Linked DNA regions of Lonchura striata. The protein of the gene in region 2 purifies or fractionates together with the protein of the main gene of each other region. This does not show direct contact. Links are inferred from orthologs where the notes say so. Each region holds a gene or a part of one and is shown on either strand. Other genes may lie near its edges. The genes, in order: ZNF503, DCAF7, PFDN4 and YAF2.

What was found.
Region 1: the proteins of DCAF7 (region 2) and ZNF503 purify together in Homo sapiens (affinity purification with mass spectrometry; 4 studies listed by BioGRID and IntAct, counting the BioPlex papers as one, with this or other methods). This does not show direct contact. The link is inferred for Lonchura striata from reciprocal best matches to the Homo sapiens genes DCAF7 and ZNF503.
Region 3: the proteins of DCAF7 (region 2) and PFDN4 purify together in Homo sapiens (affinity purification with mass spectrometry; 3 studies listed by BioGRID and IntAct, with this or other methods). This does not show direct contact. The link is inferred for Lonchura striata from reciprocal best matches to the Homo sapiens genes DCAF7 and PFDN4.
Region 4: the proteins of DCAF7 (region 2) and YAF2 purify together in Homo sapiens (affinity purification with mass spectrometry; 3 studies listed by BioGRID and IntAct, counting the BioPlex papers as one, with this or other methods). This does not show direct contact. The link is inferred for Lonchura striata from reciprocal best matches to the Homo sapiens genes DCAF7 and YAF2.

What each region holds. Positions count from the first base shown.
Region 1 is NC_134609.1:11,135,258-11,142,229, forward strand, and holds the start of ZNF503 (zinc finger protein 503), read left to right. Parts: upstream 1-3,963; 5' UTR 3,964-4,132; coding exon 4,133-4,441; intron 4,442-5,571; coding exon 5,572-6,972. UniProt on the Homo sapiens protein: May function as a transcriptional repressor.
Region 2 is NC_134627.1:9,009,021-9,016,508, forward strand, and holds the start of DCAF7 (DDB1- and CUL4-associated factor 7), read right to left. Parts: upstream 3,011-7,488; 5' UTR 2,923-3,010; coding exon 2,785-2,922; intron 1-2,784. Other genes in the region: voltage-gated inwardly rectifying potassium channel KCNH6, read right to left, coding at 5,226-5,513, 5,863-6,061, 7,450-7,488. UniProt on the Homo sapiens protein: Involved in craniofacial development. Acts upstream of the EDN1 pathway and is required for formation of the upper jaw equivalent, the palatoquadrate. The activity required for EDN1 pathway function differs between the first and second arches.
Region 3 is NC_134619.1:2,290,623-2,297,517, reverse strand, and holds PFDN4 (prefoldin subunit 4), read right to left. Parts: upstream 2,724-6,895; 5' UTR 2,643-2,723; coding exon 2,619-2,642; intron 1,879-2,618; coding exon 1,771-1,878; intron 1,339-1,770; coding exon 1,195-1,338; intron 939-1,194; coding exon 807-938; 3' UTR 517-806; downstream 1-516. UniProt on the Homo sapiens protein: Binds specifically to cytosolic chaperonin (c-CPN) and transfers target proteins to it. Binds to nascent polypeptide chain and promotes folding in an environment in which there are many competing pathways for nonnative proteins.
Region 4 is NC_134607.1:38,823,461-38,830,807, reverse strand, and holds the start of YAF2 (YY1-associated factor 2), read left to right. Parts: upstream 1-4,325; 5' UTR 4,326-4,518; coding exon 4,519-4,544; intron 4,545-4,674; coding exon 4,675-4,800; intron 4,801-7,347. UniProt on the Homo sapiens protein: Binds to MYC and inhibits MYC-mediated transactivation. Also binds to MYCN and enhances MYCN-dependent transcriptional activation. Increases calpain 2-mediated proteolysis of YY1 in vitro.

The DNA.
Region 1 (6,972 bases), on a different chromosome or scaffold from region 2:
CAGCTCGCCAGCCTGACCTGTCAAGCGGATTATTTTAGAGGGAGATTAATAGGGGAGGCGGGCTGCAATAATAATCGTTTTGTTTGATGTGACAACTTTGATAGGCGTTGATTTACTTACAAACTGATAGGCTTTTAATTGAGCGCCTCCATCCAGCTTGAGATGAAAGGAAAACCGCATTGAAAAGCTGCCCGAGTGCCCTCGAGCCTCAATACTGATTAGCCATCTCGACAGTGAATAGTTCAAGGCATTTTCAAACTTTTTTCCTCTCTCGCTCTCGCTCTCCTCTCCTCCTCAAATATCTGCCAGCCCACTCCTTTTTAAGAGAAAATAAATCATTTCCATTGTGTGCAAATAAAATCGACTTGACATGCTTGCCAATAGCTGGTAGGTAAAGGAAAGTGTGGACTGGCACTTGTTAATTAATTCCTCCTTTGCTCTCCTTTTTTTTTTTTTTAGGTTACAATTTTCCTTTGTAAAAGGAGGAAGACGGGTTCCAACCCTTGGATTTTTTTTTTCAAAGGAATAAAAGCAACAGCCACCAAAACTTCAACAAGACTACACAAGTAAATGGCAAACAGCAAACCGTCTGCACGGACTCATTAAACAAGAATCCCTCGCGAAGGTTACGAGCAGGACAGTATCGCTCTTCTTCGGTTCAAGAGAGGAAAGGAGCCCGCAGCAGGCAAATCACAAACTCCGCACCGCTTTCAAGCTGCAGCCCCGCCGTCCGCCCGATCCTACGCGTGTGCATCCTAACTCCGAGCCCCTCGCTGGGAATCGTTTTCTGCGTGTGTTAAGCGCAGTGAATAAGTTCTCATAGCTCAAAAATGCTTTGGAGGGCGCAAATGGGAGGAGATGTCTTGGGGCTGATTTTTTTACAAGGTTCTACATAAAAAAAGTTTACAGTACTGAGTGATATTTAAATCTCATTTCAAAGGCTGAGTGGAGAGGGAAAAAAAAAAAAGAAAAAGAAAAGCAAATGAAAAAGCTGTCCTCTGAAGTTGCTAATTAAATTACCCTCTGATGCTTCTACTTCAGCCAGAAAGATCGGGGTTCGTGCTGTTCCCCCCGCTCCGTCCCCCGCTTTTCCCGTCGGAGCGCTGCCTGTTTTATACATGTACCGGCAATCGCCTCTGCTTCCTTGGCTTACAAGTAAAACAACCCTTTCCCGAAATCACCCTCACCTCCACAAGAAAAGAGAGAGGGAAGGAAAAATGGGGAGGGAGAGCCTTCCCACAGCTGACTCTACCTTAAGACAATTAATCTTTAGTCTTTCACCCTGGGAGGCAGGATAAATACAACGAGAAAACAGATAGGAGTCTCCCCGGTCCTGTAAGGAAAACAGCTGTTCCAAGCACTTTAATGCAAATGAACACAAATGAAGGTTTCAGCTTTTTTTTTTTTTTTTTTCTTCCAGAGTTTTACTGCACTCCATTTATCAATTGGACTTGACAACAAAAGAAAGAACTGGGGGAAAACCTGGGGCAGATTCAAGTCACTTCCACTCTAGATAAAGGAGGGGGGGCGGGGGAGGAGTTCCTTGAGGGCAAGTTGTGGGTCTTGTCAGTCCTATTGCAATATCGTGGGGTTTGTGCAATATTTCTTTCTCTACCTCCTCTTCCCTGCCTTTTAATTTTGATGGTTTTGCAAGATGACCGCGGTAATTGCAAAATGAAACTACGTTTATGATTATCCGCTGAGAAGTTGTGCCAATAAACCTTATCTTTCAGAGAAAAGATAGAAATTAAAAAGTTTGTTAAAATTAATGTTATCTTCATTAAAGCTAGAGGAGTTCCCTGTATTTATCCTACTCTGTATACTATAGTAAAAAAGTGATTTAAATAAAATCCAGCCGATACACTTACTGCGCTGCAAGATTTAAAGGGTACCTCTTGGCGGGGGAAGGGGGGGATACCGAGGAAAACCTGCCTTACACAGACCTCGTAAGAAGAGCAGGTCATTAAAGACTATCTGACACATCTGTTTAGGGACTGGGACAGATCAGTGTTTCAAGGGAAGAAAAAGGACTAGGTTCAGCAAATCTAAACGTGAGAAAGTGAAAGTCCTTCCTCTCGTCCAACCCTTCCAGGATCAGCGCCTGTTCTGGTTGGAGTCCAGGTCAGGAATTGGACGCGACCCCTAAAGCACTTGCCTTGTTCTTCACTTGTCAAACGTGTTTTATCTCTAAGTGACCTTTTTGTTAATGTTGTAGATTGTGTGGGCCACCATGTCAGATCCGGAAACAAAAGTAAAAGATTGATTAACACATTTTGCCTGTGAAAAAATGTTATGGGATGAGGAGGTGGGGGGATAGTGGGAAGCAAAGTACAAAGAGAAAAAAGGCAACCCAGAGACTTGAAGGCTTGCGGATTCCTCTCGGAGCATCCGCCGGCACCCGCAAAACCGGGGTTGAGGGCAGATGACTCGGTACCCTTCGGGAGCGCACAGACACACAGCAGGACGAATGTAACGCCCGGGTGGACACCGTGTGCGTACCCAGAAGGCTCTCAGCACAGCCTAGCTGAAAATCAAACACATAAATGGCGAACAAGTACTCTCGTTAGGGCGAGGGGCCGCCTCCCCAGGCCCCCGCTGCCGGGGACCGGTTCAGCCCGGCGGGTGCAGCGACGAAGGACACTTTCGAATAGGACGAAGAGGGAAGGGGAAGAGGAGTCCAGCAGCCCTCCCCGACAGGGCAGTGAGGGGCTGGGGAGGGCGACCGGCTGCTGGCAAACAAATCCAGTTTACTCCAAGGATTTATTCCGTAAATTAAAAGGCTTTTTCTCCCGAGGAGCCCGTCTCTCCCACTGTTTTCTTTCCTTCTTCCTCCCTCTCCCTCTCTCTCTCTCCTTCCCCCTTCAAGTCACACCAGGCTTGTAATCAGCAACAAAAGCTGACATAAATCAAGGGCGGATTGACAGGGGCTGACAAATAACTGATTGATTGCGGTTGGGGAGCACTGACAATTGACGGCGGGGCGGAGAGTCCCGAAAGGCGGCGGCGGGCTGTGCGTGACAGCCCCGCGTGTGACGACCTCCCCCAATCCCGCCGCGCTCCCCGCGCCGCCGCAAGCCGCGCCGCAGCGCCCCGGCTCCCGCCCGCTGCCGCCGGCGACGTGCAGGCCGGCGCTCTGCAGGTTCTCGTCCGGGCCTCCCCCGCGCTGCCAGGCGGGAGGGGCGGGAAAAGCGCCCCGCGCCCTTCCGCGGGTCCCGGAGGGGACACGGCGGAGCGCTGGTCCCGGAGCGGTCCCGGCGGGCTGGCCCCGGGGCTGGGGGCCGCCGGCCGGGCCCGCAAGCGCCGTGCGCGGCGGGCGGCAGGTCGTGCTCGGGGCGGTGTGCGAGCGGCGGGGGCGGGCGGGGGGAGCGCGGCGGAGCCCACGGCCGCCCCCCGGCAGGCGCGGCGCCCCCGGCCCCGCGGCCGCCCCGCCGCTGCCGCGCGATCCGCGCTGGCTGCGGAGGAAGAAAAACGTTCGCAGCGCGTGATGTGAAACACAGAATTAACGCCCATCCCATCCTAGGAGCGAAAACAAGGAAGGAGGGGAGGGGAGAGGGAAGGCGGACGAGAAAGGGAAGGGGAAAAAAAAAAAAAAAAAAGAGCGAGAGACCATTAAAAACGGAGAAAAAAAAGCCCAGAAAAGGGAACGTCACATCCCCTTGACCCTCCAATCACCTCGGGGTCCCATTTGATTGGAAGGCGGCAAAGGCTTTAATCTCAGACTAATTCAGCTGCTTTTGAAGTGAGTTTCTTTGCCAGATCCCGGGCTGGATGGGCAGCGGCTCGCATCACAGCTGAGCGGCGGAGGCGAGCGCTCCGCGCCGCGCCAGCCGGGGGAGCTGAGAGCGGCCGAGGGGGACCGCGGCACACGCTCGCAGCCCCCACCCCCGCCCCCAGCACAGCCCAAGGATTACTCGGCTTTTTTTTCCTCCGCTTTCTCTCCGGCCGGCTCCCCCTTTCCCTCCCCCTCCCCACCCACGCCCTCCCCGCCAGAGAGAGCCACGGGACATTGTATGTTTGTTTTTCTGCTCGGGGGGCGTGTGGCTTTTTTCCTTTCTCGCCCGCAGAAAGCGAGCGAGCGTTTCCGAGTGCGAGCGGCGCCACTTGCCCCAGTTTTCATGCGAGGTTTTGGGTCATGATCACATCGCCCTCGCTTTCTGCTATAAGAAGTAGTAAGCGCAGCAGCAGCCTCAGCGAGCCCGGAGGCAGCCCCCGCCGCAGCCGCAGCGCCGCCGACCTCGCCGGGCCGAACGGGCACGCTGGGAATAACGGCAGCAGCGCCGCCGCCAAGCCCTGCTTCCACGCCGTCCCCCCCTCGGACCCGCTACGCCAAGCCAACCGCCTTCCCATCAAAGTCTTGAAAATGCTCACGGCGCGGACTGGACACATTTTACACCCTGAATACCTGCAGCCTTTACCCTCCACGCCCGTCAGCCCCATCGAGGTAAGCACCCGGCCCCCGCCGCTTTCTCTCGTCCCTGCCCGGGCGCTGGCTGTGCATGGCGGCTCCGCCAGCCGCCCTCGGCACTTTGCTGCGCTTTGAAATGCATTTATACCGGGACAGGGGCTTTTTCTGATTTCGAGTTAGCGCAAGGAGCCGCTCCTGGTCATTGATTCCGTGTTTAGTGCGATAATTCTAGTTCCTGTGTAAATTAATATTTTCTTCTTGCTATTTTGAGCCCCTTTTTTTTTTTTTTTTGGTGGGTTTTTTTGGTGGGTTTTTTTGGTTTTTTTTTTTTTTTTTTTTTTGAGAAGCGGGGTGGGTGGAAGGAACCGATCCACGCTGGGGTCACGATCCGGCCACCCAAATAAGCAGCGCTCCGACCGCCAAACAGCCTTGCTTTTGCAGGGAGTATGTTGGGGTGGGGTGGGGGGGACACACACGGGACGGGACGACACGACGAGGAGAGCGACGGGCTCAAACGTGGGTGCGGCAGGACAACTATTTCGGCTCGCCGACCGATTCCTTTCAAGTACCGACGCGGATCTGTACTTTGGGGGGCCTGTTGGTCCCCTTTCTGCTCTGTCGAGGTTACCGGTCCCCCTCTGCGTAGGTCGCTGTTTGCGGGACCGAAACTCGAAACAGAGCTGGTTGTGGGAAGGGTGTGTCCGTGGGAATTAATGATTTCATTAAGGTCTCTGCGGAGCGAGGACTCTCTTCTCCTGGGGAGCCCTGCTCGCCGGCTAGCTCGGGCTCTATTTATAAATAGTGCCAGCAGTCAGGGTGCAGAAATGCTGCAGTCGCTATAGTTCACGGGCGGGTTTGCGGGCAGCACGGCCCGAGCGACGCCGAGACGCCGCTGCCCGGGCCGATGCCGGGGAGGCTGGGGACGCTGAAGGCGGCCGCGGCGAGCTCGCAGGGTTACAAAAATCCCCAGCCCTTTTTAAAGGCTTTATGGAAAATGGTGCATTCAAGGGAGGGGGCTGTCAAGTTGATGAATGCGCACAAACTGTTCGTTACTTCCAGGCTGTGCTCTGCAGAAACCTACGGGACAAGAGTTCTATGTAAGTAATGGGGGTTTTCTCGGACCCCCATTAAACCTCTTTCTTTGTGTGTCCTTCTGATTTCCGCAGCTGGATGCAAAGAAGAGCCCTCTGGCCCTTTTGGCACAAACTTGCTCTCAGATTGGGAAGCCGGACCCGTCCCCTTCCTCCAAACTCTCTTCGGTCACCTCCAATGGCTCCGGAGGCGACAAGGACTCCAAGTCGGGCCCCTTAAAGCTGAGCGACATCGGCGTGGAGGACAAATCGAGCTTCAAGCCGTACTCCAAGCCGGGCGCGGAGAAGAAGGAGCCGGGGGCGGCGGGCTGCGCGGGCGCCCCCGCCGCGGGGGTCGCGGCCGGGGAGAAGTCGGGATTCCGGGTGCCGAGCGCCACCTGCCAGCCGTTCACCCCAAGGACAGGCAGCCCCAACTCCAGCGCCTCCGCCTGCTCGCCCGGGCTGCTGCCGGCCGAGGGCAAAGGCGGGGAGGACAAGAAGGACTCGGAGGGCTGCGGAAAGAGCGGCAGCTCCGGCTCGGAGGGAGGCCCGGGCACCACCAGCATCAGCCACAGCCGGATTAGCGTGAGCTGTGCCGGGATTAACGTGGAGGTCAACCAGCACCAGGAGAGCACGCCGGGCTCCAAGCCCATCGCATCGGACTCCGCCTCCTCCTGCAGCAGCACCACCGCCACCTCCTCCACCTCCGTTCTGGGCTCCGGCCTCGTGGCCCCCGTCTCCCCTTACAAGCCGGGCCAGACGGTTTTCCCCCTGCCCCCGGCGGGCATGAGCTACCCGGGGACGCTGGCTGGAGCCTACGCCGGCTACCCGCCGCAGTTCCTGCCGCACGGAGTGGCTCTGGACCCCACCAAATCCTCCAGCCTGGTGGGGGCCCAGCTGGCCGCCGCCAGCAGCCTGGGCTGCAGTAAGCCGGCGGGGTCGAGCCCGCTGGCGGGCGCGTCGCCGCCGTCGGTGATGACGGCGAGCCTGTGCCGAGACCCGTACTGCCTAAGCTACCACTGCGCCAGCCACCTGGCAGGCGCCGCCGGAGCCTCCTGTGCCCACGACCAAGCCCTCAAGTCCGGATACCCCCTCGTCTACCCCACCCACCCTTTGCACAGCGTCCACTCCTCGCTGACCGGCGCCACGCCGCCTTCGCTAGCCGGCCACCCTTTGTACCCCTACGGCTTCATGCTCCCCAACGACCCCCAGCCCCACATCTGCAACTGGGTGTCGGCCAACGGACCCTGCGACAAGCGCTTTGCCACCTCGGAGGAGCTGCTTAGCCACTTGCGGACCCATACTGCCTTCCCGGGCACCGATAAACTCCTCTCCAGCTACCCCAGCTCCTCATCGCTGGCCAGCGCAGCGGCCGCAGCCATGGCTTGCCACATGCACATCCCCACGACGGGCGCCCCGGGCAGCCCGGGCACGCTGGCCTTGCGCAGCCCGCACCACGCGCTGGGACTCGGCAGCCGCTACCACCCCTACTCCAAG
Region 2 (7,488 bases):
TTTGCAGTTTTATGAGCTCATTTAGAGATTCTCTTAAATGCAAAGCCTTGCCCCACCCTCCACAATGAGAAGCTCCATCCTTTCCATCTCATAACAAAAAGATGCAGCCAAATATGCTTCCAAAAACTGAAACACAGCCTGTCTTGCCCTCTCTATTATAGCAACTCCTTACTATCCTTCATATCCTAGTATAAATCAGTCAAAAATCTCCCAGACTTCTGAAGTGATTGACAAATAGCTTTCTAACTCCTTTAGGGATCAGAAGTATTCATCAGATTTTACAAAGGAAGCAAATTGTCCATGGTGATAAAAGATTTTATGGCAAGGTTAGGATCATAAGACAAATGACCTCTAATAATTTCTCCCTTGCTTATGTTTTTTTGCCACTCAACATGATTGTAATAATCCTACACAAAACAATCAACATCCTCTCCAGAAGCAAATCTCAAAGAGCAAAGGATTCCCTTTCACTGGTGTTAATGTAAATATTCCTGCACTGCATAATCACATTTAACCCCTCCTCAGACCTTAAGATAAGCAATTCAGCAATCCAGTAGCTCTGATCTTTGCCATGTGTAGGTGCAGGCCAGGCTGGAGAACAGGAATTGTACTATCACTAGCAGAGCTGCTGCAGCTCAGGGGCCTGCCCAGCGCCCAGAGCAGGAGCAGCTGGCAGTGACTGCGAGGGGGAGGCAGGCACTGCCCTGCTGGGAGCAGCAGGAATGCTTGAGAAACTCTGCAAGTTCAGAGCTGTGACTCTTCTCTCGGGACTTGATCACACACAGTCATCACGGAACCCCTCCACTCAGCCTCTCGTGCAGGCTGAACACGAGGGGATGGAACATGGAATTATTTCTAGGATGCCAATTACATCAGAGCCCTCTCTCTCTCCCTTCTGCACATGAGGCAAGAATGCTGCTGCACAAAGGAGTGCCTGAGGTCCAGCCCAGGTAAGACTGAGGTAATGCCTAAGGGAAAGTAACTGTCAGTCTGGATACAATTTGAACCATTCTACATCTCCCTATAAGTCTTTCCAGAGAGAAAACCAGGATCAGCGTGTTCAGCCTCAACTAGTTTTGTGATTTTGCCATGCCAGTAGCTAGGAATGCTAAATATTTATTTGTCGCTCCAACACTTCAATATAGGAAAATCCATACCTAATTTTAGCATATTATAATCCAAGCACTTATCAACATAAAGCATATTTGCAACAGTGCATGCGAGTAAAGAACCACCTTTAATCAGCATCCCTTAAGTTCTAAAAAAAACCTATCTCTAACTTGATACAAAAGAATCAGACGGAACTAAATGATGCAGAATTTGGTAACGGCTTCTTTTTCTTATATGGTTGGAGGAACAGTGAAGTAAGTCCACAGTAGTTTGAAAACCTCCTTAACTTTAGTCTAATTTATAACTACCTAAAATAACATTTCACGATTATTTTACAATCAGAAAGATGCCACTGCACCAATTAATCTCCAGCATTCAATCAATTTTTCTTTGCAGTGCAGGATCTTAAGAGAACAAATGACCTTCCTGCAGAAGAACTGCCCTGAACCCTCTCTCTCTGGGGCACTGCTTGGGAGGATGTGGAAATGTGGGAAGCATCTGGTCAGGGCCTGTCGGTGCGCTCCAGTGCCAGGAGCCAGCTGTGTACAGCACAACCTCTACAGAGGCATGTCCCCAAGACAACTTTCTGACTGTATTTTCCACAATCTCCATTAAACACCTTGATAAGGCTACACAGCTACATGATATAAACCAAGCTCTGTGGGCAAACCTTCAGTTTCACAAGAATTTCAGGATGCTCTATAACTTCATCCATCTTCTCATCTCTCTTTGATTTCTAAGTAATTCATTATACCGGCCAGCACCTTGAAGGTGTTCAGAAGTGACTGCACATGTGTTCTGAGCGATGAACTGGTCTCTGTTACTGGTGTGACATTCTTCACTCACACTTTGCAGTGAAACACTGAAGATACAATCTCATGCCTCATTACACCCTTGTTCTCAGGGAAAAGTACTGAGGAATCAATACTGAGAGGGGTTTATATAGTTATGAAAAAAGTTACCACACTCAAGTCCTCCACAGCAAGAAAGTACATGAGAACAGCACATTCCCAACACAGTCTCAGACACCCTGTACATCACAGGGAGTGGAAGGGAACTCTCCAGTCCAATCCCCCTTTCTAGGCAGAGTAACCTGGATCAAGTGACACAGGAATACATCCAGGTGGGTTTGGAATGTCACAGGAAAGGGAGACTCCAAAAGCTGCTTGACCAACCTGTTCCACTGCTCTGCCACCCTCCATGGAAAGAAGTTCATCACATTGAGGTGGAACTTCTTTATAGCTATATGCATATATATGTACTGGCCACAAACTTTCCTTTGTGCAAATTGAGCAAAAAGCCAGATATGCCCAACCAGATATGCCCAAGCCAGGGGAAATTGTTTTATTTCTATAGCAGCAGCAACCAGACCCATATCATACCTTTAGTTTCCAGCTCTTTACATCACAGAGAACTCATAGCACGCGGTGCTTATGTGATCGAAGCCAACACAATCGTTAATTCCGAAGATCAGAGGTCACGAGAAGCCTGCAGCAGCGTTATCCCAGAACCAGCAGCCCCCAGGGCTCTTCCCTGTGTCCCTCACCCCGGGTTAGCAGAGACCAGCCTGACGTGGTCCAGGCCTGCATTGGGGGTCCCTGACCGCTCTGGCCGTGAGGCGCCCCCGCTCCCCCAGCCTCGTTCTGCCCCAGCCCCTGTGCCCACCCTGCCCACCTTGTTGTTGTACTCCTCCACGAAACTGCCCAGCGCCAGGCGAAACCGCTTGTCGGGCCGGACGCTCCAGTTCATGGCGTACACGGTCCAGGGCGCCTCGTATTTATAGATCTCCTTCCGCTTCCCGTGCAGCGACATGGCTGGGCCGGGGGGGCCGCGGGCCGGGCCCAGGCAGCCTGCGGAGGGACCCGGCCGGAGGGAGCGGGGAGGCGGCGCGGGCCGGGGGGAGCCTCAGCGCGGCCCCGGGACAGGAGCGGACGGGGCACGGCGCGGCCCCCGGGGTGCCGGGGAGCGGGGAAGGCTCGGCTCGCCCTCGGGGCGGCGGGGAGGCGCGGCTCGGCCCCGGGGAACGGCTCGGCCCCGGTGCCGGCCCAGACCCGGCAGCGGCGGCGGCGCTGCTGAGGCCGTGCGGGACGCGGCCCCTCACACAACGGGAACGGAAGCCACGCGGGGAGCGCCGCCCACTGCGCGCGGGTTGGGCGTCTCGACTGTCACTCAGAGCGGCGGCTGCCTATTGGGCGATCTGCCTGTGCGCTCAGCCCGCCTCGGCTTTCTATTGGCCGTCTGGCCCTTCACTCCAGACGGACGGGCGCACTCCGGCTGGGGTAACCTACGGCTGCGCTTGGCCCCGCCCGGGGGGGGCGGGCACGCTCGTTGTCGACATCTTGTTGGCTGGCCGGGGTCGCATTAACTGGAGGCGGGACCTTGGGCCCTTAGCGGTGATCGATTGGCTGGAAGCGATGTCAGTCACGCCAGCCCGAGGCGGGTGGGGCCGCTTCAGGCTCTCGTGTGTCGCGGGTTCGAGCCCCGCCTCGGCCGAGTGGCGGACGGGCCCGCGCTTAATCTCTAATTAACAAGCAGTTCATTATGGTGCTTTTTTGGGAGCAGCCCTGGCGCGTACTGGCAGAAGGGGTGCAGCCGGCTGCCCAGGGAGCTGCTCGCTGTGCCCGGCACGCCGCTCGAGGCGCAGCGAGGCTGGCCGGACCCGCCGCGGGCTGTGCGGCCGGCCGGGGTCGGGGATGTGCGGTCCCGGCTCCAGCCCCCGCAGCTCCGTGTCCGCTCGGCGCGCTGCGGGGCCGCTCTGGGCAGCGCCGTGCTCCTGGCAGGGCTACCCGCTGCAAGCACCGCTGCTCTGGGCTCTGCCCGAGTTGTGGTTGAGAGATCATTTCTCGTATGCAGCTGCCTGGGCTCGCAGAAAAGGTTTTCCAAATGTCCTTTTGGGAAGGGATTGCTCGGCGAAGCCTCCGCAGGCTCCACCCTTGAGCTGACTGCGCATAGCCCCACACTCCTTGGATGAGGTCACCGGGCTTTGACCACAGCCTTTTTGGGGTGACGATGCCCGGGATGAACTCATGGATGCTCCCAACGAACACAGCTGTAATTCACCTTAGGTGCCAAAAACATCTTTATTAGCAAAGTGTACACTAAAACTCCAGAGAAAGAGATGCTCACAGTTTGACTACTCTCAGAGGGAGCTCGATACAATACTGGAGCTGGCGGTCTAGGTCTATCACAGCATCTACCCGAGTGGCGAGCGGCAGCGCTACGTGGGCTTCTCCTACGGGAATGCTGCGGAGTCTGCCGGGAGAAGGGGTGGGCAGGAGGAAGCACCTATTGAACCTTTATCAAAAGAGGGAGGCTGGGAGGGAGGACTGGACACGGGGTGTCTGGGGCTTCTCAGCTTCCTGGGATTGTGCTTTTGAATTTTGTGCTTTATGCCCAGGCCAGTGGCGACTTGGAGTTACCTGGTGAGCTGTGGGATGCGTGTTGGGGTTTGCAAGGTGTGATCAGCCTTGCTGGAGAAGTCAGTGCTCTGGGACTCGTGCTGAAGCAGGCTGAGGTGGCAGGGGATGTTGGCCCTTCACTTCTCAGTGGCAATCAAGTCGGACAAACTTCTGTCCTCTGTCCTTGTCCTGGGCTTGCCACCTGCAGTTTCCCCTGGACCACACCGTGGAGATCTCACAGTCCTATGGTGACCACCCTTCTGTAGTGCCTGCAGGCTCTGCTGGGCTGAGCCTTGTACCAACACAGTGTTCCCTGCTCCCAAGGATTCCAACACAGCCTCGCAGCCCAGAGCCCTGGATCGGCTCTCCTGTGGTTGCTGTGGCTCGCTTGGCTTGTGCCCTTCTCGAGAAGAAGCCTTGGCAAGGAGGAGGTGGTGGGAACCACGTGGCCTAACCAGCTCGATGGTGGCTGTAAGAGCTGTTCTAGGTTCACTCTAATGTGCAAATGAAATCTACTCTATTGGGAACCTCTGGAAAACATTGGCCTTGGAAGCCAGCCACTCTATACTTCCTGTCATGGTGGCAGAAGATAGCTACAAATTATACCCCTGAGCCAATGGCATTGTCCAATGTTTTACCCTTGCAGTCAAAACCAACATCAACTGACCGGGTCTGCAGCTGAGGTTCCTCTTGACTCGCCCTGCAGCCCCCACGTCTCTAACTTCCAGGAAGCACGGGGTCGGAGAGGTGTCTCTGAATGTCCTGGTGCTCGGAAGATGCCTCCAAGTGCTCAGGGAGGGAAGGGAAACGAGAGCCCCTCAAGAGTCCCTGGGCGCTTGGTGCCCTTTGGTGGGGAGGCTCTGGGTTCAGGAGAGGTGGCGAGGGGTGCTCCTGCTCAGAGTAGACCGTCATGGTTTTGTCGGATGACACCGACAGCTGCATCCCGCTTGACAAGGAGTCCCTGGATTTCAAGTGGAACTTTTCTACCTCCGTGTAGCTCGGGCTCTGGTGGGAAATGAGGAATTGTGTGGGTGATGGTAAAAGTAAAACGAAGTAGGCATACTCTCTCCTCATCAACCTTGGAGCCTCATCAGCTCCAAGCCCCAAAATGTTATTTTTCACTTGAGAAAGCCTCAGAGCAGAGAAACCCCCTTCCTTCCCCACTGATGGGCAGCCTGGCAGCGTTGGGGATAGCAGCGGTGCCCCAAAACCAGTGGTGCACTGGGCAGATCTGCTCCCAGGGCAAGACGCCGTGGCTTTGGCGGGACCCATCAGTGTTTGGCTGTGCCTTGCCTGGCGAGAACTCGGGGCTGAAGGAGCCTGGTGGGGGCTGAGCCAGCAGGGCTGACCTTACCTGCTCCTGGGTCGGCATCTCCTGGTCCTGCAGAGGCGCACAGGGGCCGAGCGGCTCCAGGCTCCGCGGGACGATGCCGTACATGGCCAGGCTGTGGGAGCTCGGCGAGATGGGGCTGTACGCGGGTGGCACTTGGGACAGCTGGCGCTGCAGGAGCTGCAGGATTATATGAATGTCTGACGACATCCTGGACTCCAGCCTGGGGACAGAGCAGCCTGGCGTCAGCGCAGGGAACCCTTTTGCATCCTGCAGCTGGGCAGGGGAGGCGCTGGGAGGAGGTGCCGATCCCGCTACCCCAGGGCAGTGATGCTTTCCCTGCTGCTTGTTGAGGTTTTTAGAGAGCTTCAAACCGGCACTACCAGAGAGAGATCAATCCTGCCATCTCTCTCCTGCCACACTCAATCATCCTCTGCCCAATTTTATGTGGAGCCAAACTGGGATCTGGAGCAGGGATTTGAAAAAAGCTAAAATTACCCTGGAGGGGGGAAAAGATTGCAATGGTTAGTTTTAATCTGGATCAATTCTCCAGGCCAGCTGCCTGTTCTGACAGATGGAGCAAGGCAGGTTAGTGCCAACCACTTTTAACTCAGGAACAGAAGAAAACAGTAAAGCAGAAGTCTATTCTTTCTGCCATGTGAGCAGCACTTGCAGGAGTGGGCACAGCCACACTTGCAGAACACAGTCCCACTTGCAGGACACAGTCACAGCATCACTGACAGAGTGGGCAGATCTGTCCCCAGTGCAGTAGGATGGTGCACTGAAGAGACATCTAAATTCAAGTGTGTGCTGAAATGAGCTTAACAAGGGCAGCAGAACCCACAGTGTCAGCCCCTCATGTGTGCTGCCTGGGGACATTAAACCTGCACCTCCAGTGTGGGCTCTTCCTTCTTCAAAAATCACAGAACAGTTGGGGTTGAAAGGGATCTTAAAGCTCATCCAGTTCCATCCCCAGCCATGGGCAGGGACACCTGCCATTAGAGTAGGTTGCTCCAAGCCCCTTCCAACCTGACATAGAAGACTTCAGGGATGGGGCAGCCACAGCTGCTCTGGGCACCCTGTGGCAGGTCTCAACCCCCTCACAGGGAAGGACTTTTTCCTAGAAATCAATCTAAGCCTACTCTCTGTCAGTTTGAAAAATCATGTATTTTTCTTATTTAGAGGCCAATGATGGCCATGAGGCTCATTTGCTCAAGCAAGAAGATGCTTGTAGGTCTTTGCAGCAGGAAGAGGGGACCTGCAAAGGGCTCCAGTTTTGCCTGTGGATGATTTAGTATCTGCAGTTGCATTGAGTTTGGAAGCCATGGCAAAGTGACAGATCTCGAGTGGCACTGTGGGAGATCCTGGAGGTGGTGACAGATGCCAAGGGTGGTGACACAGCAGCAGATGAGGGGCTGGGCCACAGCCAGGGTCAGGATTTGTCCTTTGAGAAGCCGCTGCCTTTGCAAAGCACTCCCACCCCCTCCCCAGGAATGCAGTGTCCCAGGCGTCAGGATGTGGTGTTGCTGCACACAGAGCCCACTGCAGCCACCTCTAGAAAGCAGAAGGTGATGGCCTAGAGTCCTCCAGGCCCTCTCCAACCCTGCCTACCTGCTGAGCTGGGCCTGCAGGAGCTCCAGCCTGGACTCG
Region 3 (6,895 bases), on a different chromosome or scaffold from region 2:
CCTTTTGTGTTTTGTTTGGTTATAGAGACAAATTAAGGTAATTAAGACATTTAAAAATTACATTCAACTCCTCCTAGTGATGGAGGCAAAGATTAGGGCTCGATGCTGACTCTATGAACCACTGTGACATCAATTTGCTACAGAAATATGGATTTAGGAGCTGTTCAGGACAATTAGAAATTAAGACTCACCACTGTGACTTGCAGCAGTTTTTGGGATTCCCAAATACAAAGCAGTAAATGAGTGAATATGGGGGCTCCAAAAGCTTTTCCTCACTACAAAACTGAGCTTTAAAGAGCCCTTGTTTGTCCCCTGGCAAACTCCTGACACCTGAGCTGAGGGTGAAACACAGAGGAGGAATTTAGGAGCTCCAGGAGGGCTCTTAAAAACCCCTGGACAGCATCATTCCCTCATCATGTCCCGTGTCACACAGTTTTTAGCCAACAGCCACTCCAAAATTCCCTCCTTCCATTTGTTTTAAACCTTTTCATGAGTGGAAAACAAAACCCAGGAAACTCCAATACATGCCTGGCTTTATTGCTTTAATAAACCACGCAAATATTCCAATTTTGATGCTTTGCCAGCAATGTGAAGTCGGTGCTTTCCTGAATAAATAAATAACTGCAATAACCAAAATAAGGAAGTTCTTATTAAATGTACAGAACTTTATACAGGGAAGTAAAAAAAAAAAAAGACAAATCAACAAAAAGAAAGGGATGGATTTTCTGTTCTCAGTATAATTGCAGCAATGTTATCAAAACATTTAATAACCTAAGGAAAAGTTGGGTGTTGTGTTTAGAAAAGCTTTAACTGTCCTCAGCCTCCAGATTTATGTTATTCCCAAACTTGGCATAGAGCTGAACTTTGAGGTCAGACAACACGCTCTGGATCGACTCCACTCGGGATTCCAGCGCCTCAATTTCCTCCTGTAAACTCCTCTGCAAAAGAAAAAAATAAATTCAAATCAATCCTGTGCAACAAACTGAGCCAGGCTTGTCAGCAACACAGAACCAGCAGAGAGGTGCCTCTTTTCCAACTCATTCCCAGGTCTGGCTGCAGGATTCACTGCTGGAGTGCCTTTGGAGTAGTTCAAATCCTAAACCAAACCAAATTTCAGACTGAGAAAGCTGCAGAGGGTGCACAGACCCACCCCAGTGCCCAGCTCACAGCACAGCCCAGCTGCTCCAGACAAACCTTGGCCTCCTCCAGCATCTCCTGCGTCTCCTCCAGGGAGTGGCTGATGAAGACATCCCCAATCTGGTAGGGAATCAGGTGGGAATCTTCATCATCCAGCAGCATGATGTCATCACAGGCATCCTCCAGGTTCTGCAGCTGCTTCTGTTTGCCAGGACACAGAAAGAGGCTCCCTGTGTAAAGCCCTTCCATGGGCACAGCTGGGTAAGGAGGCCAGAGAGGCTGGAGTCCGGGGACAAATCCCACCCACCACCAGGACATCCACGAGATCAGAGTCAGAGCTGGAATTCAGCAATTCCATCCAGTAAAAACCCCAAGTCAGCACTCATTATCTGTCATTAACGGAATAATTAACTGTCCAAGCAAGGGTAATACAGGTTTAAATGTCACTAATATCTGATATTAGTGGCATTTATTAATTAATATGATATCTTATCATTCTCTATTTCCAAAGTATAAGAAACCTCATATCAGAACCCAAGCATAACCTGAACTCACAGTAACTCACTGCTGCTAATTTTCTCTGTTCCAGCTGAAAATCCAACGAAAAGCTCATGAGATCTAAAGCAAATATACCTTTTTCACATCTATCTCTTCTTTCAGCTCTGTGATCCTGCTGGTGTTTCTTGCAAACTTGTTAATTTTCTGTTGATCTTCGAAGGTGACATTGACATCTTCTGCAGCCTGTGAGGAGGAGAGGTAAAAATGATGATTTGTGTCCTTATATTAATTTGAGTTTCACTGCAAGGATGCTCCTACAAAGTGATGGGAAATAATCTGGCAAACACCACACTCTGCTTATGCACCTGATTGCTCAAAGTGCCTCTTCAAGAACACCAGAAATACCCACATTTAGATGGGGAACATCCAATTACAACACTGCCATCCTAAAGGCAAAACAGTTTCCTTGCCACTGGCGGCTGAACTGAACACCCTGCTCCGAGTTTTCTCTGCAGAGACACCATGAACAGGAGCAGTTAGTGACATGCAGAGCAGAATGGCTGCGAATTGACAGACAGGAGGGATATTTAGGAAAGAATTGTGAGGGAGGTCGGGCCTCGGAGCCCCTGGGACAGTGCGAGGTGTCCCTGCCATGGCAGGAGGTGCAATGATGGAATGAGATTAATTTAAAGCTCCTTTCCAACCCAAGCCACGATGACGACGATTCCATAACTAAGCACCCTCTCAGAGAACAATTTTCTCCTCACGTCCACCCTGTTTATCATCGTTGTTTAAACGAGCCGCCCGAGCCCGGGGCCCTCAGCTCCCGAGCGGCGGCCGCGCCGTTCTGGGCACGGCTCGGCCCGGCCGCGTCCGAGGCTGAGGGACACCGCGGAGCAGCCTCGGGAGGGATGGAATTCCTGCGGGAAGGGAGCAAATGCTGCTGGAAAGGAGCGAATCCGCCGGGCCCGCTCCCCACTCACCGCCTTCTTCATGGTGGCGGCCATGTTGGCGCTGCAGCAGCCATGCGGGGCTGAACCACCCGCGCACAGGGGGGGCAGCGGGCGCGGGGAGAAGAAGGAGGAAAAGGAAAAACTCCAGGAAAAGGCCGCGGCCCTGGGAAAATCGGGGATTGTCTCTATGGGCGCCGCTGGCAGCGCGCCGGGATGTCCCGAGCGGCCGCGGAGCTCGGAGGGATGCGAAGGCGCCCCCGGAGCACTTGGTACGGCCCGGTGGGAGGGGCGGCAGGCGCCGTGCGGGTCCGCCAGGGGGCGCCATGAGACGGGAACGGGTGGGACCCGCGGGATCGCGGGATAACTATTGGGATAGCGGGATAACTATTGGGATAACGGGATAACGGGATAACTATTGGGATAACGGGATAACTATTGGGATAGCAGGATAACTATTGGGATAACGGGATAACTATTGGGATAACGGGATAACTATTGGGATAACTATTGGGATAGCGGGATAACTATTGGGATAACTATTGGGATAGAGGGATAACTATTGGGATAACTATTGGGATAACGGGATAACGGGATAACTATTGGGATAACGGGATAACTATTGGGATAGCAGGATAACTATTGGGATAGCGGGATAACTATTGGGATAACGGGATAACTATTGGGATAACTATTGGGATAGCGGGATAACTATTGGGATAACGGGATAACTATTGGGATATTGGGAAAACGGGATAACAGGATAACGGGATAACTATTGGGATATTGGGATATTGGGATAACGGGATAACAGGATGGGAACCATGGGATATTGGGATATTGGGACCCACGGCATAACGGGATAACTATTGGGATATTGGGAGAATGAGAGAATGGAATGAGATCCATGGGATAACAGGATAACAGAATCCATGGGATAATGGGATCCATGGGATAATGGGATATTGGGATAATGGGATCCATGGGATATTGGGATAATGGGATATTGGGATATTTGGATCCATGGGATAGTGGGATAACAGGATAACAGGATATTGGAATCCATGGGATGGGATCCATGGGATAATGGGATATTGGGATAATGGGATCCATGGGATATTGGGATAACGGGATATTGGGATATTTGGATCCATGGGATAGTGGGATAACAGGATAACAGGATATTGGAATCCATGGGATGGGATCCATGGGATATTGGGATATTGGGATATTGGGATATTGGGATATTGGGATATTGGGATGGGATCCATGGGATATTGGGATAACGGGATACTGGGATATTGCGATGGGATCCATGGGATATTGGGATATTAGAATCCACGGGATAATGGGATATTGGGATAATGGGATAATGGGATATTGGGATGGGATGGGATGATGGGATGGGATAGTGGGATATGGATGGGATCCATGGGATGGGTGAATGGGATGGGATGGAGTAGGATGGGATACTTAATTCTATAATATTGCCTGAAATAAAATGATTTCTGGTTTGGTTGTTTTTCGGTTCCGAATGGCTGCTCATTTCACAACTCCAGTTCCAAACCAGTGGGAAAGACAGGATAATAAAGGATATTTTGGGTGCTCCTCAGGCTGATGTTACATTTTATTTTGGTGCATCATCATCATAATCACCGTGCCTTGCTTCCCACTGAGGAAAGAAGTTCATCACCAAATTTCTCCCCAGAGAAGCGCATTATTTATTATTAATTTCTATAAAAACATAATCCCAGCTCCAAACCTCTCTTTTCCTCAGAAAACAAACCCTCACCCCTCCTGCTAGGAAAGGACACAGCGGGTATTTCCCTAGCTGCAGGAACTGCCCAGCACACGGAGCCAGTGCAGCTTCCCCCAAGAGAAAAGGAGTGGATTTCACAAGAATCTGATGACTCCAAGGCTTTGAAAAGAAATCCTTTTTATTCTCCCACACGCTCGGGCAGGCTCTGCGGAGTGAGCCTTGCCAAGAGTAACTCACTGCAGACCTTTCTTATGTAAATAAAAGTGAAAACAGCTCACGAGTGCAGCCAGGCAGCGTGGAGGGAAGGAGAGGAACCCGCTGAACCCAGCGCCCTCGCTCCTCTCCCGTTGCATAAAGGACTTGCTCCTTCTTGCTCTGCTCCCTGCTGCTGTTGTTTGGCTTCTCCTCCTGGGATCCCTTCCACGCCCTGCCCTCGTCTCACGGCTCCTCTGGGGCTCTTTGCACATTTTCCCTTCCTTGCTCCAGCCTTCTGCAGGGCAGCTCGCTGGGGAATGCATTGCCATGCTTTGCTGCCTCATGGAGACCTCTGGAGTTCCCAAACTTGTCTCCCCTCTCCCTGCCTCATGGAAATCTCTGGAGTTCTCAAACTTGTCTCCTCTCTCCCTGCCTCATGGAAACCTTTGGAGTTCCCAAACTCTTCTCCTCTCTCCCTGCCTCATGGAAATCTCTGGAGTTCCCAAATTCTTCTCCTCTCTCCCTGCCCCATGGAGACCTCTGGAGTTCCCAAACTTGTCTCCCCTCTCCCTGCCTCATGGAAATCTTTGGAGTTCCCAAATTCTTCTCCTCTCTCCCTGCCCCATGGAGACCTCTGGAGTTCCCAAACTTGTCTCCCCTCTCCCTGCCTCATGGAAATCTTTGGAGTTCCCAAATTCTTCTCCTCTCTCCCTGCCTCATGGAGACCTCTGGAGTTCCCAAACTCTTCTCCCCTCTCCCTGCCTCATGGAAATCTTTGGAGTTCCCAAATTCTTCTCCCCTCTCCCTGAAGCTCCACAGACCTTTCTCAGGCCTTGGTGATCTCCAAACCCTCAGACACCAACACGGTTTGTGACTTGGAAATGGGGATGAAGTGGTTGTTTCTCCAGGATGGAGGGGACCACTTTGAGCAAAAGCCACACGAATTTGTCCCGTTTCAGTCGTGCCAGTGTGGTGAAGGAGGTGGCTGTGACATTCCCACAATATTTGGGATTTACTGTGGAGTGCAGGTCCTTGTGTCTGCCATTCTTGTACCAGCATTGCAGGGGGAATGGAGCTTGAAGTAAAAAAAAAAAATCCTTTTCTAAGGGTGTTTATCTTTTCCAAAAAAAAAGAGACATCTCCTAATTATTTATGTGGCAAATCCCCCACAGTGAGGATTTCTTTCATTATTTTGTAATCTGAGGGAAGGAAAGCAGACTTTCTCACCTTTCTGCCCTCATTCTTTCAAAATCCCTCGTGTTAAATAAAAAGCAACCTCACCATGAATTCCACTACAACTGGAAATACTCAGAATTTTTCAGTGCCATCACAAAAGTGCTGCTTTGGGTGTCAACTACATGTGGGCAAGGCATGGAAATGCCGTGGCAGAAGGCTAAATGTGTAACTGCACATAAAGAAGAATGTAAATTATTGTTCTTCAGCAGAGTTTTTTTCTGTGAGAAGTGTGAAATGAGGATTAATTACCTCATGGGTAAAAAATTCACCAAGATTTTACATATTCATGGAGTTACAGAGTGGTTTGAGTTGAAAGGGACTTCAAAAATCATCATATTTCACCCCCCACCACAGGCAGGGGCACCTTCCTCTATCCCAGGTTGCTCCAAACCCTTCCAACCTGGCCTGGGACACTTCCAGGGATTCCTAAATGCTGCTGCTTTTAAAAATAAATAAATGTGCCTTCCACAGCTCTGCATGGAAGGTGACAAAAGCTTCCAGATTTCTGTTCAAAGAGAAATATTCAGCCTGGGTCAGTAACTATTGCACAAACCCTTCCCTGCTCAGGCAGGGCAATATTGCTAAAAGAGACAAGAAATTGTAACATCCCAGTGAGTGATTCTAATTTCCAGAAAAAAAAAAGCAAAACCTGCCAAGTCCTGAGTAATTCCAAGCTGACTCTCAGAGCATCTTCTCCTGGACCTCGGTTTCTTGGTCTGCTTCACCATTTTCTCCCTGATTCTCCCCTGGAAGCTCCTCTCTAGAAGATGCAGTGCATGAAGCACTGCTTGCTCATCTAAAGCAGATAATAAATGTTTCTTCACAAAGAAAGATGGCCCGATTTTTATTTTTTAAGCAATCTTTGCTTGAATTAAGTCAATAATCTTCTTCATTTTCTTGAACCACTGATTTAGAGGCTCCTTTAGTAGTGGAGTGTGGCAATGTTTATAACCCCACACAAGTCATGGCCAGCTGGAGGATTCCTGGGCTGGTGGAATTTGAGTTTTCATCCACTGCTACTGCCATCCTGGAGAGGAGTAATCATCCAGAATGGGACATAAGAAGAGGAGTTTGATGTTTAAAACCAGTATTTGAGTGAAAATAGAATAAAGGGGTTTTT
Region 4 (7,347 bases), on a different chromosome or scaffold from region 2:
AAGGCTGTCATGTGTGCCACCAAATCCCAGCAAAAGGATCAGAAATATTTAGTGAATGTTGAGAATGCTCTTTCATTCCTACCAGTGATCCTTCACATTACCTTAGGGAGGGGCTAAATGGAAAAAGTAGGGAAATTTCTACTATAAGCGTTTTCTGCCATGAAGCAGATTTAAAGAAACTATAGAGCTGAACAACTTTACAATTGATTATAAAATCTGAAAGGATAAAAGCTGGGTCCAAACTAGAAGAGTAAATGACAAGTAAGCAGTTAATGAATTAATTACTTGAAAATTACCAGGTACCTGAAAGTAAGTGGTTTGATAATTTCATTCCAGTTCACAGAGGACAAATATGAAAAAAAACCCATTGTGATCAGATTTTTATTGATCTTATATGCGCAACTACTGCTGCTGTGCTTTAACCTGCAAGAGTTTTGTGTACAATCCTCTGACGAATTTGGAGCCAAATTTGTCTAAGCATACAGTCAAATTATGACCCTAGAAAGACTCCTGGACTTAATTACCACCATGTTACTCAAGGTTCATGACAGCATATCCCTGCTGATGTCAGAGCCACTCTGTGTGAAACCTGAAGGATATGCTGATGAATCAACTCTCATAAGTGCTATAATTCCCTAAAAAATATACAGTATGTTTAGATCAAACTTGTACATGCAAGGAAGTGAAAACTCTTTTAAAACAGCTTTTAGGCTCTCTGATGTCATGAAGTATTTTAGATGTGGTCCCTCTCTGTTCTGGCCCTTTCTAAAGCAGAATTTCGCTCTCCTGCCTCCACACTCTAGTAAGAGGAGCATGAGTAGTCAGTGGGCTGCTCCCAAGGCTGAGCAAACATAGGCTGGAGGGGCAGTGCTTGCTGTCACCAATCTTATTGTCTTTATTATAGAGTCTGCAAGCAGATTTCACTTTTCACTGTCTCTGATTTTCAATTTTTCCCCACCCTAGTATCACATAGAAACCCAGCCAGGATTCAGGCCTTACTCTACCTAGCATTCCAAAAAACCCCTTGCCAGTCAAATTCCCATTAATTGATTTCATTGTATTAATTTTATTATACCACCACAACCCAAGCAAAACAGATACACTGTGCTGGAATAACATGCATTTGTTCTAGTACAATTTTATACTTATGTGCTATTCCTTTTCATGAATAGGGATTAAAATGTGGTTTATCTACAACATAATGATAATCATCTTTATGGAGAGTTTTTTAAGCTCAAGCAGTGACAAAGTGATTACTTAATTGCTCAAGATGCTGATAATGCAGCAACTGGCACAAGTTTGCTGTGCACAGTGATGGTTCAAGTATTGACTAAATGGCAAGTCTTTGTATGGATTTACACAGCACTAGCTTGTTCTTAATAACCTTGTATGTGAACACCTTTTTTTAGGAACAACTGTAATTTTTTCTGCAGTAAGAATTTTTACACAATAGGTACTTAAAAATTTCTACCATCCTCTTTCACATCTTCTTTACTATGAATAAACTTTTAGCTGAGAAGTCATGAATGCCAGAACATTTATACCATACACCGAAATACATAACTTCCAATAGCTATCAGCATATATGATTTTTAATATCATAATCATACTATGAGCATTTCCCTTGTACAATGCTACAAAAAATATAAATTTTAAGATAATAAGACAACAAACACTAACTAGAGAGTGATGCCTGATGTAGAAAGATACAATTATATTGCTCATCCCTTCTGTCTCAAAAATGTGTTTACATTAACTCAGCTGAATTAAAACAGGAGGCAAATAATTGCTCTGGAAGAACTGTACCAGACAAAGTCAAAATTTAAGGATATCTAAAATTATAGTACATTCATCCCTTTTCTTTCCCAGAAACATTTTTTAAAAGACTGCTAATACTGATGCCATCAATTTTGTCATTCAAAGTTTCTAGATCATGTGCCATACAGACATTTAGCAAAGACAGATGAGTTTTCTGGGTTTACATGAATACCACTGGATGACAAAGTATCTGAGTATGGAATTTTTTACTTTTTCAGTTTACCAAAGTCCCCCTGAATCTCTTCAGTATCTGGCTATTACACACACCTCTTACATATGCTTTCCAGCATTGCTGCTAAGTAATGCCTTCCATCACTGTTTCAGTTGCAGGGATGACATGGGATGGCTTGATGCTGTCAGTGGTCTCCTCTTGTGTTCCTATTTGAGGACAGAACAAGGATGCAAGGAAAATAGTATTTTTTTCCTTTTCAGGATTATTGAAGAATAAGACCCACACTTGCACAGACCCATGGCCACTGTGACTTGCATCATGACCCATACACTTGAACTTTTGAATGTACCATCCACATTTCAGCTTCCAAAATAAAGATTAGTTGGAGCTCAGGGGAAACAAGCCCAATGCTGCTGGGAAAACATGGTTATTTTTAGTCATGGTCATTTGCATGATGACCTTGAAGCAGAAGGTCTAGAACACAACAGCCAGAAAGATTACTCTTTTGTTAGGGATAACATTTATGGATGGCAGTTGCATTTCCTCCTCCTGATTATACATGGTCCTCTCCAAGAATGGTTCCTGAGGGATTAAAACATATCTAGGCACTTTGAAACCACAAGTGGAAATTCCGTTTCCCACAGTTGGTATAGAGAAAGTAGGCTGTGACAGGGGAAAGGTCAAGAGAAAGCAGTCATATCAAAATAATTACTTTCCAAAAGTAGGGAAATAATGTTTGTTTATACAGTGACTGAGAAAGAGTGTGCTGTGGAAAAGGGCAAAAGGAGACAGGTTTCTCTACTGCTTTCCATCAAGAGATTTCTACATAAGGTCAGGTTCAAGCACAGGTGGGATACCTCATATAATTCTGTAATTTTAAACATCCGCTTCTGGACTACTGGTGTAAAGTACTCTTTATAGTCAATGGAAAGAAATAGTCTCCATAAGTGAGACAATTGTCTTAGCATCAGATCAATCACCTTCAGCATGAGCTTGTTTCTCCTGCTGAGAGCTGGGTCTGGGCTCCTAGTCCATGTAGATGTCTAACTAAATGCACATGAGCCCAGGCCAGCTGTCTGTGCGTGGCATGCCTCACCCTCAGATGTGCAATCCGTACATTTTATTCATAATTTACAGAAGACTGCATGAGAAGCCTAAAGAGAAATTGCAATAGACAAAGGAAAGGAAAGGTGAGGCATATATAGAAAGAGAACCGTAAGGTGAGGAAAATGGCAAGAGTGGAAGGTGGACAGGTTTCCAGTTGCTGACACACAGCATTCCTAGAGAGACAGAGAAAACTGTGAATCTCGTAAAAGTGTTATTCATTTGCATAAATGCTACATCCCAGTTAAGCGGTCTTTAATTGCTTCCCTAATGTGTCAAGTGCTTTACCTACATTTTCCCTCTCTATCCTAGTATTTCTAGCTGAAATTTATCTTGACAACTTTGCCTTCAAAATCAGAAAGTTTCTCTGTTGTCCACTTGCTTAATTTTTAAACACGTCTGTGTCTTCATACACTTCAGTAAAACTCGAAATTTGAGCATATTTTGTTATGGAAATCCCATAATTTCTTGGCAATGCAGCAGGAATAGCTTTGGCACTGAGATGCTGACCGGTATAATTTTATTGTCTTCTTGCATTCTGCTCTCTACCTGTGTGTCTAGCTGCTGTCTTTGTTATGCTCCTAGGACATGTGCTCTTTGTTCTATTTGCACAGCACCCTGCAAAATGGCATCCTAGTCTGTGACTGGACTCTGGTGCACTCTGATAATAGAGGTGATAAACACCCGTGTCCTGTCTGAGGTTGCTATGGTGCATGAGAACCACGCTGTTCTTGCAAGCTTTTAAGTGCAAAAGTAGGACCCTGCGCACGGGGACAAGGCAACACCATTCTCCAGGTTTTGTATTGATACCCAGGGTGATCTCCCATGGCCTCAGGCCAACGGGATGCTTTAGACCGAGACTTCTAGGCAGAAGTTCGCATTCAGCTTATCCGCGTTTGTTTCTTACTGTAAACCACTGCCCGGAGCAATTTCTGTGGGAGGAAGCACAGGACGGTCCAGCCGCTAATGCGAGCAACCTCGGGCGACAACACGGGCGGCTTCACGGGAAGAGCCCGCAGGCCGGCGGCAGTCACTCACCGCGCCGCTCTGCCCATCCGCACCGCCTCCCCGCCGGGGCCGCCCCCGGCGCGGCGCCGCCCCCGCTCCGCCCGCCGCCCCCAGCAGCCCCCGCGCTGCCCCGGGCCCGCCGCCGCTCGCAGCGCCCGAGCCGCCGCGCAGCGAAGCTGCCGCCGTGCGCGGCCCGCCGGGCGCCGCGGCCTGCGGGCGCGCTGGTTGGCGGCGGCGGGACACGTGAGCGGGGAGGCGGCGGCGGCAGCGGGAGTTTCCCCGACAGCTGGGGCTTGCGGCGGCGGCTCCTCCTCCCCGGGTCCCCGCGAGAGCCCGGAGACCCCCCGCGCTCCTCCTTATTGACAAACGCACAAAGGGCCGCGCCGGGGCCGGGCCGGGACGCGTCTGGAGCCGGCATGGGGGACAAGAAGAGCCCGACCAGGTAGGGGCAGCGGCGGCGCTTTCTCGTTCCCCCGCGCCCTCCGGGGGCGCGGGGCCGGCGGCGGGGGCGCGCCGGGGGCGGCGGGCGCGTCGCGGCCGGTGCTGCCCCTGGCGCGCGTGTGTCTCCGCAGGCCGAAGCGGCAGCCGAAACCCTCCTCGGACGAGGGGTACTGGGACTGCAGCGTCTGCACCTTCCGCAACAGCGCCGAGGCCTTCAAGTGCTTGATGTGCGACGTGAGGAAGGGCACCTCCACACGGTGGGTCGCCGGCGGAGGGGGAGCGGGGCCGGCGGGGGGCGGCTGTGCGGCCGTGACAGGAATCGGGGCCGGGGGAGCCGCGGTGCATCCCCAGGGTGAGAGGGAGGGCGGCCGTGACAGGAATCGGGGCTCGTTTCTCAGGAGTGGGGGCGGGAACACGCAGCCTCCGCCGGCCGCGGCTCCTCGGTGAACCTGACCCAGCGCTGCGCCGGCGTGTGTAGAAACAGAAATAATAAATACCAGGAAGGGCATAATTGCCTGCACAGCCTAACCCTGGAGGTATTGTGCCCTCTCACGAACAAGAACTGTCCTCTAGGGTGTGCCTGCTAAGACAGTCACCCTTTAAATTTTTTAAAAATTTATTTTAATTTTTTTCCTGTGAGTTTAACTTTGCTTCATACATAACCCCTTTGTTTGATTATTATTGGTAGCATTATTTTAATTTGCTTTTCATCACAGAGCATCACCATGCAGGTTTCCGAGGGCTATAGGGGGTGGATTATAACCCTTCAGTGTTCAGGAGAAATTTTTAGCTGAATTGCGCTTTATGGAATTGTCTCCGTGTGTACCCGTGACTTCCCAGGAGGACCTTTCCTCTGTACACCAGTCACAAAGCTTGCTGTAGATTAACTGGTTCCTGTACCTGCCGGTGGCCTAAACATGTGTGCTTGGGGAATGGAGGCGTTTTACAAACGAACTTGAGTGCACTTGTAGCTATGCATGCTAATAGAAGGTTGCTCAGGAATCCTTTCTTACCTTTTCATACCTACGGGTTAATCCCATCAGCAAGAGAAGTTTAAATGGCAATCAAGTTGCAATCCTATCAAAAGCCACAATTACATTGTAGATATTGGTCAAAGCAGTGATGAGTATGACTTGCAATAAATGTTACATGATTGAAATCGTAAGGGCAACGTTGGGTCCAATTACTCGATAAAAATGATTATTCTTTATTTCTGGAGCTAGTTTCCCTGACTTCTGAAAACCAGAATGAATATTGGAAGGACTTCTCATAACTTCAGTTGTGAATATTAGTTGAATGTTTTTGTTTGTTTGTTTTTTAACAAAGAAAATCAGTAAGGTAAATGTGACAGGAGGGAATTGCATCTGTCACATATATTATGGTTTCCTGTTATAACAATGGCATTCTGTTTATATCACAGAGAGATGTGTACAGATTGGTATCGTTCAGCAAAATAAGACTGATGAATTAATGCAAAGGCTTTAAAAACATAATGCAAAAAGCCTCTAACATCCAATCAGTTTCATAAGAAAATTCAGTTTAAAATTATGTTTTATTGCTTTGGAAGCTCAGCTGGATAAAAGCATTGAAACTTAAAATTTTTTTTTTCTTCTGAGAAACAAATATTTTCATTGTCTTCGAGTTTCCCTGCTTGAATATTTAATATTTAAAATAATTTTTCAACAAATTGTCTTTTTTCTTTTTTTAGTTTCCACTTTCTCCCTGACAGTGACCTGGTATGCAAACTGTAGTCAATAGGTTGATTCTTTTTTCCCCCTCTACTTAAACTCTATAACAATGTGTCCCTGATTACGTTTATGGGACTCTTTGGGACTCTTTTTCCCCCTAAGATTTAGATGGGTTGCATCTTCATATTGCAAAATCCAAGTTTTACACATGGCATGAGGTAGATAAAAGTTGAAGTTTTAGGCCAGGCAGCTTTTGTCTCCAGTTCTGATATATGATTTGAGCCAGTAAGGAGACCTTTGTGTCCATGAAGAGAATCATTAGGGTGCCAAAGAAACACAAAAGGCCATCTGGGTGCTTGTTTTTTTTTCGTTGTGTTTTTTGTTGTGGGTTTGTTTTTTTTTTTTTTTTTTTTTCCCTAAAGACCTCTGGAGTCCAAGTGACCAAATGATTACCTTGGAAAAGCATTTGTTGGTGTTGCCTATAGGACAAAATGGTTTTCATCAACATGGGGCAGGATAACGATGCTACCATGTTTTGATGGCACTGAGAATGCATTATTTATTTATTTTAGTCTTCCATTTTGAAGCTTGATGTTAGATTAAGGTGCTGCATCAGCATGGTTGTTGCTGTGCAATGCTTCTTGCTTAAAGGCTTTAACTGTGGCTTTTTTTACTGATTAGAGCTTTGTCTATAAGACATTGTAAAATGCTACCTTTATTTTAAATTCAGAGCAATCTCTTTCTTTTTGTTGAAATGTGTACCTGATTCTGCATGTTAAAAGTTCATTAAATGTGACCAGATTTGCAGGTGGAAAAACAGGCAATTGTATTGAAGCTAAGTGGATTTGAAGGCCACTGGAAATCAGGTGCAAAGTTGATTAAAGCTTTTTTTATTTTAATACTGATTGTGCACATTTGCCTTTCCAGAAATATTTTCAGGTATGGGTAGGTTTTGTGGGTGTTTTCACTGTTGAATAATTTCTTCTCTCTGAAAGAGTTATCTTTTGTGCCAGAGGCTAGAAGTGGATTATGTTCTTTAGTAACTGATATAATTGTTAAGATTAGTGCAAATTTTTACAATTTCTTGATTATATTTTATTTTTAGACTGAATTTTG